2 linked regions of the Callithrix jacchus genome follow. The protein of the gene in region 1 purifies or fractionates together with the protein of each later gene. This does not show direct contact. Links are inferred from orthologs where the notes say so. Each region holds a gene or a part of one and is shown in the gene's direction. Other genes may lie near its edges.

What was found. The genes of interacting proteins can lie anywhere in the genome.
Region 2: the proteins of NEDD1 (region 1) and tubulin gamma-1 chain purify together in Homo sapiens (affinity purification with mass spectrometry; 5 studies listed by BioGRID and IntAct, with this or other methods). This does not show direct contact. The link is inferred for Callithrix jacchus from reciprocal best matches to the Homo sapiens genes NEDD1 and TUBG1.

The regions. Positions count from the first base shown.
Region 1 is NC_133510.1:100,010,981-100,015,364, forward strand, and holds part of NEDD1 (protein NEDD1), read left to right. Parts: intron 1-403; coding exon 404-633; intron 634-2,196; coding exon 2,197-2,398; intron 2,399-2,771; coding exon 2,772-2,967; intron 2,968-4,384. UniProt on the Homo sapiens protein: Required for mitosis progression. Promotes the nucleation of microtubules from the spindle.
Region 2 is NC_133506.1:121,277,054-121,282,225, reverse strand, and holds the start of tubulin gamma-1 chain, read left to right. Parts: upstream 1-1,820; 5' UTR 1,821-1,860; coding exon 1,861-1,909; intron 1,910-2,231; coding exon 2,232-2,344; intron 2,345-2,550; coding exon 2,551-2,718; intron 2,719-3,878; coding exon 3,879-3,947; intron 3,948-4,230; coding exon 4,231-4,310; intron 4,311-4,737; coding exon 4,738-4,864; intron 4,865-5,172. Other genes in the region: RETREG3 (reticulophagy regulator 3), read right to left, coding at 1,243-1,481. UniProt on the Homo sapiens protein: Tubulin is the major constituent of microtubules, protein filaments consisting of alpha- and beta-tubulin heterodimers. Gamma-tubulin is a key component of the gamma-tubulin ring complex (gTuRC) which mediates microtubule nucleation.

The DNA.
Region 1 (4,384 bases):
TGTCACCCAGGCTGGAATGCAATGGCAGGATCTTGTTTCACTGCAGTCTTCACCTCTCAGGTTCAAGTGATTCTCCTGCTACAGCCTCCTGAGTAACTAGGATTACAGGCACCCGCCACCATGCCCAGCTAATTTTTGTATTTGTAGTAGAGATGGGGTTTCACCAGGTTGGCCAGGCTGGTCTCGAACTCCTGACCTCAGGTGATCCACCTGCCTCAGCCTCCCAAAGTCCTGGGATTACAGGCGTGAGCCACCACACCTGGCCAAAACCTGTCACTCTCAGACATCAGAGAAATCCTAAACCCCATGTGAATAGTGTGATTGGCCGTAATTTATATGGCTTATATAAAATGTCCTTATGAATGCTTATAATTACATAAAATTTATTCTTTCATTTTTATAGTCTGTTCGGCATTTGAAGTACTCCTTGTTTAAGAAATCACTACTGGGCAGTGTTTCAGATAATGGAATAGTAACTCTCTGGGATGTAAATAGTCAGAGTCCATACCATAACTTTGACAGTGCACACAAAGCTCCAGCTTCAGGCATCTGTTTTTCTCCTGTCAATGAATTGCTCTTTGTAACCATAGGCTTGGATAAAAGAATCATCCTCTATGACACTTCAAGTAAGAAGTAAGTGTGACATGCTTATTTTTTAATTTAGTAACAAATAACTATTATTCCATTAACAGGCATATTTGTGATTTGTATAGACCACTGATTAATGTTGAGGGGTTCTAAAGTTTGTACAGTTGATGAATCTAGTAAAATAGAATTTTCTTCTTGTGCAGAAAAAAAATAGATGGGGTGCAGGTAGTATTTAGAGCTCTGAAACATGAACAATGGCGCAATCTCGGCTCACCACAACCTCCGCCTCCCGGGTTCAAGCGATTCTCTTGCCTTGGCCTCCCAAGGAGCTGTGATTACAGGTGCCCACTACCACACCCTGCTAATTTTTTGTATTTTTAGTAGAGGTGGGGTTTCGCCATGTTGGCCAGACTGGTTTCGAACTCCTGACCTCAGGCGATGCACCTGCCTTGGTCTCCCAAAGTGCTGGGATTACGGGCAGGAGCCACCGTGCTGGCCTTGATTTCACATTTCAATTTTAGCATCTTTTTCAAAATATGACATGTATATGTTTTTAACACAAATGATTAATTTGCTTTAAAATTGATTATCTAGAGGAAGGTTTAGAAATGATTGCCATTTTGGGCTTTGTAATTCTTTGTTGTGAGAGACTGTCCTGGATATTGTAGGATACTCAGCATCCCTGGCCTCTGCTCACTAAACACCAATAACCTAAATGGTGTCCAGACATTGCCAGATGTCTTCTGGTTGCTTCCACTTGAGAAATACTGCTAGGTATGCATAATCTTCTAAGCATTTGGGCCCATTGTACCCTTCTCATGTTAAAGGTATGCTCAGTTAGCTAAAACAAAACAAAACAAAAGAACTGCAAGAGTGCGAGAGTTGTATTCAAGATGCTTAGCACTGCAGATCATGTGGAGTATGAATGTTACTACAAGGGAAGGGCTTACTGTCAGCCCTGTTATGATGCTAGAATTTTTGCTGTTACTTATTTGCTGTCTTCTTTTATGGAACAATTTACTGAGAGCCTGGTAAGCCATTCTTCTCTTATACTAGACAGACCAGTAAAGAGCTCAGCTTGAGCAGATCAGCATCCATATTTCTTTATTAGCTGCCTAAGGATCAAGCTTGTGAATTATATTCCTCCTAGCTTTTTGGTCAAGACTGCACAACTAAGAATAGAGTAACAGCTGCTCCCCTGTGAAAGGTCATAATCCTCCTGAGGCCTAGGCAGGTCAATAAATGGAAAGGGAATACTTAGGGCCTCCTCAGTCCTGAGGCTAGAGCCTCTGTTTGTGGTGTAACAGATGGTAGTTCTGCTACATTCACTGCCAGAGTAATAAAGAAATAGGTGCTGTTTCTATAAGATGTGGAATATACCTAGTGAATAGAAAAGATGGAATTTTTGGCAGTTCTCTACATGCCATTTTATTAGAAATTTCTCTAAGTCAAATTCTAAAATTATGCTTTAAACAAATATTTGGGATATATGTGCTCTTTGCTAGTTTGAAGTATTAATAACTCTGGTTTTGGTTTATAGTTATTATATAAGCTTATATACCTATACACACTAACATAGCTACACATAGTTTGTTCTCCTTTCCAAAGGGTGGTGAAAACTTTAGTGGCTGACACTCCTCTAACTGCGGTGGATTTCATGCCTGATGGAGCCGCTTTGGCTATTGGATCTTCCCGGGGGAAAATATATCAATATGATTTAAGAATGTTGAAATCACCAGTTAAAACCATCAGTGCTCACAAGACATCTGTGCAATGTATAGCATTTCAGTACTCCACTGCTCTTACTAAGGTAAGACATTTTCTTATTTTTGATTTTATTAAATAAATCTAACTCAGAATATGGAAATTATGTTATCAATTAAATACAGTATAGTTTTGTTTCATAATTACATAAAAATGACTTTACATGTAGTACATAATAATTTTAGTACAAAGCCATTTGATAATTAGTTTTAAAACTTCGTACTTAGTTCTCATATCTCTCTTTCTCTAAAAGTCTTTTAAAAGATGTTTTCGTTTAGAGCAAAACTGAGATCCATCAGCAAGCTTAAGATTTGCAAGGAAAAAATATATTTTTTAATCTAACAGAGAATTTATAAAATATTAATGTATGGTATGAAACATTAGTAACCTGAGCTTTTAAATATTCCATTACATTTCAGTCAAGTTTAAATAAAGGCTGTTCAAATAAGCCCACAGCAGTGAACAAACGAAGTGTTAATGTGAATGCTGCTAGTGGAGGAGTTCAGAATTCCGGAATTGTCAGAGAAGCACCTGCCATATCCGTTGCCACGGTTCTACCACAACCTGTGACATCAGTTGTGGGGAAAGGAACAGTTGCTATTCAAGAAAAAGCAGGTAAATGTTGCTTAAATATTGTTGGAAGGTTTTTTTTTTTTTTTGGTCTACATATGATTAGCACATTTTTCAAGAACCTAGAATCCAAATTCAGGTGAGTATTTAGGTAAAATTAGTAGAAGTGAAAATCACTAAGAAGTGAAATAGTAACTTTAGCTATTAATTTCAAAAATATTAAAAGGCCCTACTGTTTAGCTAAACTTCTGTTGTGAGAAATATTATCTTAAAAATGGAAGGAGGCTAACTGAGAAATTATTCTTCCCTAATACTACTGCAGACTGAATGGCTTTTCCATTGTGTCTTCAGATTAACCAGTAGAGAATATGAAACTTTGATGCTGTCAGTGATTTGATCTCCTTGTTAAAAAAAAAGAAGAGCTATTATAATGGCTCTTTTTATTTCACATTTTAGAATGAAAAGTAAGTCAAGTGATGAATATTTTAAAGTGCTAAATAGTGCCTGGCACATATTAAGCAGTATATTAGTAATTTGTTAAAAATAAATGAGAATGTTGCAATTTTTAATGATTTCTTCTCTGATGTTATTGATGAAACTGTTCTGAAATAGGATTCATTTAGACTTTATTGAGGTGCCATAAGCTTTCCCATACTTATTGTAGAAAGTATTCCTTGTTCACAATAAAGAAAATATTCTATAAATTCCTGAAAACTTTTTATTTTAAGAAGTTATGCTATACTGTCAACTTGCAACGAATACTTTAAAAATCTACATGGTATACTAGTATGTTTCCAAAATATTGTGCTCATTAGAAATACATCTATCTATGTTTTTCAAATTTTTCAGGATAAATACTTGGACAAAAATATTGGTGTTTTTTTAGTATGATTTTACTATTTCCAAGTAGAAGCAAAACTTTAATTTGTTGATCTTGATAGTGTGAAATAGTATTTTAAAGTAAGTATGTTCACTATAAATTTCCTTTGAATATTTATATCATCCTTATGTAAGAGTCATTAAATATTAGAAAAATAATTAGATTCTTATTTAGGAACTCCTGGAGACAAAGACAATTGATATCTACTTAAAGAAGAAATTATTGTTGAAATATAACTTTGAGTAACATCTGCCAACATGTTTAATTAACTATATTATGAAAATTGCCTTTATCTTACATAATGCCATCTTCATAATTTTCAAAAATTAATCAAAATATTCTCTCATTCACTGTAAACTCTTTGAAGTCTCACCATTATTCATTTAGTTTTATTATAAGGAGGCTCTTGTTTAACAAAAACAACATTAATTTGGAAATCAAAGACGGGTCTTGCAGGGTCACAGATTAATGTTAACTTTTGATAGATTCCCAATATTTCTAGCAAAGTGTATGAGTGCCCTGCCTCCACCAAGTTAACCATGCTTGTGTATTAATTGTATTTTGAAATGACTGTCATCTTAC
Region 2 (5,172 bases), on another chromosome or scaffold:
ACCAAAAATAAATGAAGAATATAGTAGCCAAAGTTTACCATAAAGTTTGCTAAAGACTCTGGAAGCCACAAATGCCAGAGACTACTGTGACACCTTTAACTGGGTGTCTTTCAAACTGGGAGAGGATTAGCTTAATAGCTGAACACTGACTTTGGGTCAATGAACTTGGAATTATTTGCTCTGCTTCAGCTTACTGAAAATCTTTCAAAGGATAATAAATATTTTTATTTTAAAACCACTAATTTTAAGGGGAAACCTATTTTTAACCAAACACATTTAAAAAACACATATATTTTGTTGTTTCAGGCTTACCCAGAATAGTCCTAATCCTTTCAGCTGCAGAAGGCCCCCTATAATTCAGTCCCCCCTATAATTCAAAACCTCCCCCATTTTGAATGAATCCAAAACTATGAATGGTAGATCCTATGAAGTCCTAGGTATACTTTAGGTGATGAACAACTGAAGGCAGCAGCAGTTCCATGTTCAAGAGCATGACACACACATATAAAGCATATTTATAGTGCCACTTTTCCAGCTCAGGAAAACACACACTATTAGACATCCTCAATTTCCTTGCCTATAAACCATGCCTCTAATTCTTTGGAACAGGGAGTTACAATCACAGGTGGCTTTGAAACGGGTGAAATCTCCATCATCATTTCCTAACTGTTCTTTAAAAGCTTGTAATTTTCTTTTAAGTTTCAGCTTTAGGGGCTCACACTGACTCTCAGACTTCATAAACTTCCTTCCTGGATATATAACATGCTAATTCATGCGAACCGCTCAAAATTGTTTTAAAATCACATCTATGGATACCTTTGCAAGACCTCACGCCTGTACTCCCCACAATAACTAGTAAAACCTCTGAAACAATCTACAACTTGCACTTGAGCAGACAAGAGAAAGGAAGTGATGGCTTTAAAGGGTCGCAGCTTTCCTGGGCTCCAAAGAGGCGCCCTCGTTCACTCCTGAGAGGCTCAAGAAGTTACCAGAAGCTCCCGCCAGAAGTGCGGGGCGGGGGGTGCGGACGTAGGTAAAGCAGAGAAGATAGGTGGACCGCCCTGGGAAGAACTGGGGTGCCGAAGCCTACAGGCGGGATGGAGTGGTAGGAGGTGAGGCAAAATTAAGCAGATACAGGAAGGAGCCAGTGGAGCGAAGAAAACAGGGCAGGCGTGAAGTAGAGCCCTAGAGGAATCGACGAATTCGGGACTCTGAGGGTTTCCGAGGGTCCAGTTCTCTCACCAGAAAGCCGCGTTCAGCCCCAGGCACCACAGAGCGCTCCTGGCTGGTCGCTCCCACACCAGGGCTGCCTGCACTCGACTCAGCAGAGGCTCGTAAGGCCCCAGCACCTCCACCAGGGCCCGCTGCGCCGCCTCAACCTGCTGGTCCCGCTTCCAGGAGCCTGACACATCTCGGCGGCCCCTGAAAGTCGACCCCGAAGCCGGGCCTGGGGTAGTAGCCACCCCCTCAGCCTCCGCCATCTCCCCCTGGCAGCCACAACATCCGGGTCTGTGGCCCGACAGTCACAATAACAGCAACTGCGCAGATGCGCGATTGGACTAGGGAGGTCTCTTCGCACCACAAAGCGCTTCCGCGCAGGCCCAAGTACGCGTCCACCCAGAGAGGAGGACGCTGCGTCAAAGTACAACGCCCGCGCGGAGGCGCCTTGCCCGAAGATGCGCACGCGCAATATGGATGAATGAAGGCCAATGCTTAAGGACGTGCCATTCACTGCCAGAACTCGGTTCTCATTGGAGCGGAGGAAGTCTGTGGGTGGAGCTGGTTGTTTGGCGCCTGCGTCTTGCGGCGAGCGGGCTGGCGTGCGGCGGTAGCTGCTGCAACGCCCGTGCCTGAGGAGCGATGCCGAGGGAAATCATCACCCTACAGTTGGGCCAGTGCGGCAATCAGAGTGAGCGAAACTCCGGCCCTTCAGCTAGCCCGGTTCCTTAGGGTTAATGGGATCTCGCTGTGGGATCCTGGACTCCATCTGTCCTTGCCAGAATTGTAGTTCTCTGAAAGGCGAGACATCCCTGATCCAATGTCCACTTGCCTTAACCCCGAGGGGCCCTCCCCTGCCCAGTCCCTGGCGTACAGTCCTTTCCTCAGACACGGGAGAGTCCTGCGGCTTGACTTCTTATCCCAGGACGCAGGCGCCTAGTCCCCCAGCTCGTGATTGGAACCTGCCCGGACCTAGATATCTTCTTTCTCCCCCACCCACCCCTTTCCCCCAGTTGGGTTCGAGTTCTGGAAACAGCTGTGCGCCGAGCATGGTATCAGCCCTGAGGGCATCGTGGAGGAGTTCGCCACCGAGGGCACTGACCGCAAGGACGTCTTTTTCTACCAGGTGCCCCCAGCAACTTGGCCAGGGGCGGCAGTGGCCCAAAGGGCCGGAAGGGAAGGGAGTGGCCTGGTACTGGAAGGGGAGCCCCACTGGGCAAAGGGGCCAGGCGGCTGGCTTGAGGAGGGAGGGCCCAGGGAGCCAGAGTTGGGAGGACTTAGGACTTGGGCCGCCCTGGCTGATTGGTCTTCCTCCTGGACTCTCCTTGACAGGCAGATGATGAGCACTACATCCCCCGGGCCGTGCTGCTGGACCTGGAGCCCCGGGTGATCCACTCCATCCTCAACTCCCCCTACGCCAAGCTCTACAACCCAGAGAACATCTACCTGTCGGAGCATGGAGGAGGAGCTGGCAACAACTGGGCCAGTGGATTCTCCCAGGTTGTTTCCTGTTCCCTGGCAGGGCCCACAACTCCCTGTGTAGGGACAAGCCCTATGATGTCTCCAAGAGAAAGGAACCAGATCAGGGATATATGAATGCTGGAGGGAGAGACCTGGCTGCAGGAAGCGGACTATGTAATATTGTTAAGTGTCTGTACTAGCTAATGCAGTGTGCCAGGCCATTCTAAGTACTTTACATATATTAATTTTTTAAAATCTTCCAACAACCCTAGAAGTAAGTACTACAGGTCCACAGTCCCTTATCTGCTTTTCCAGGATCCAAAAAGCCATGAAACCAAAGGACATTTCCTAACTAGTTTAGCAGGAAAAACAAATCTCAATGAAGACAGGCTGTTTTATAGTTTCTATCCAACTTATTATCTTCACTGATGATTTTTATTATAGAAATACTAATATGTTTGATTAATGTACTTCTGACTCCCACTGGAATTTTATTTAACCTATATTATATATACCATAATACCTTTCTAAAATCTGAAATATTTTGAATTCCAAAACATAACTGCCTCAACACTGTTAGATAAGGGTATATGGATCTGTATTATTACCTTCATTGTACAGATGAGGAAACTGAGGCATAGAGCAATTAAATAGGCTGCTCAGAGCTACACAGAAGGAGAGTCGATGGCCCAGGTATGGTGGCTCATGCCTGTAATCCCAGCACTTTGGGAGGCTGAGGCTGGTGGATCACCTGAGGTCAGGAGTTGAAGACCAGCCAGGCCAACATGATGAAACCCCATCTCTACTAAAAATACAAAAATTAGCTGGGCATGGTGACAAGTGCCTGTAATGCCAGCTACTCGGGAGGCTGAGGCAGGAGAATTGCTTGAACCCAGGAGACAGAGGTTGCTATGAGCTGAGATCACACCATTGCACTCCAGCCTGGGTGACAGAATGAGACTCCATCTCCAAAAAAAAAAAAAAAAAAATAGAGCTAACGTATGAACACAGGTAATCCGGGTTGTAGAGTGCTTTCTTGTAACCACTGCACCATACTGCCTCTCAGTGTAGATAAAAAGCAGGCAGCTATGCTCCATAAAAGGACTTCTGGTGCTATAAGGTAAGTCGAGGGTTGCTTTCCTGAAGTCAGAGTCCTTCCATGGTTCTGTCCCACTCTGACCCTCCCTATGTCTGTACAGGGAGAGAAGATCCACGAGGACATTTTTGACATCATAGACCGGGAAGCGGATGGTAGTGACAGTCTAGAGGTAAGTGTCCCAGGAATGCTGGTAGGAACTGACATAGGCAAGGCTTGGCAACACCCTCTAGAAGCGACCTATTAAGAACAAGACGCACTCATGTACCCTTTGCACTGGACAGAAGCTACCAGGCCTTGCTGGAAACAAGGCAGTCACCTAAGCTGTATGAGTGAGAGTACTGGAGGGAAAGGAAGGGCTCGGGAAAATGGGAGTCCTGAAAAATTGTGAGATGGGTCTAGTTTGAAATCCTGCCACTAGATTCCTGGACACTGACTGCCCCTTTCCCATGCAGGGCTTTGTGTTGTGTCACTCCATTGCTGGGGGGACAGGCTCTGGCCTGGGCTCCTACCTCTTAGAACGGCTGAATGACAGGTAAGTTTGTGTTTGGGGATTAGGAAGGGTCACCAACTTGGCTTCCTAAATGACTAGGGGACCCAGTAGGTATAACTCCCTGTTTGCTGGGGCAGGAAAGAGTTCTTCTATTCCCTCCTATAGAGAGGAAAAAGAAGTTACAGTGACTGAGATCCCCATCACACTCCCAGTAGTGGGAACTGGAGCCTAGAATCTGAGCCCTGGATCAAAGTCCAGGGAGTGTGGAGTTGGAAGCCCAGATTCTAAGATGTCTCTGCCCTTCCCCCTGTAGGGTTACAGACTTCCAAAAGTCAAGTCTCCCTTTACTGATCTGACCCCACCCCAGTTTCGACATCAAAATTTAGCTGCTTCTGGACAGTTGTTAGGGAGCACCATGTTCACCACACCTTCAATCTGTTGCCCTGATCCTTTCCCCAACCCCCACCAGGTATCCTAAGAAGCTGGTGCAGACATACTCAGTGTTTCCCAACCAGGACGAGATGAGCGACGTGGTGGTCCAGCCTTATAATTCACTCCTCACACTCAAGAGGCTAACGCAGAACGCAGACTGTGTGGTGAGTCCTGGATTCTGCCTCTCAACTCTTAACACCCCACACCCCTTCAGGTCTATTAAATCATTTTCATGTATTTTTAAAAATCCGTTTTAGCCAGGTGCAGTGGCTCACACCTATAACCCCAGAACTTTGGGAGGCCAAGGTTGTTGGATCGCTTGAATCTTGGAGTTCAAGACCAGTCTGGGCAACATGGTGAAATCCCTATCTACTAAAAATACAAAAATTAGTCAGGCTTGGTAGTATGTGCCTTAGCTACTTGGGGGGCTGAGGCAGAAGGATCACTTAAGCCTCAGAAGCAGAGGTTGCAG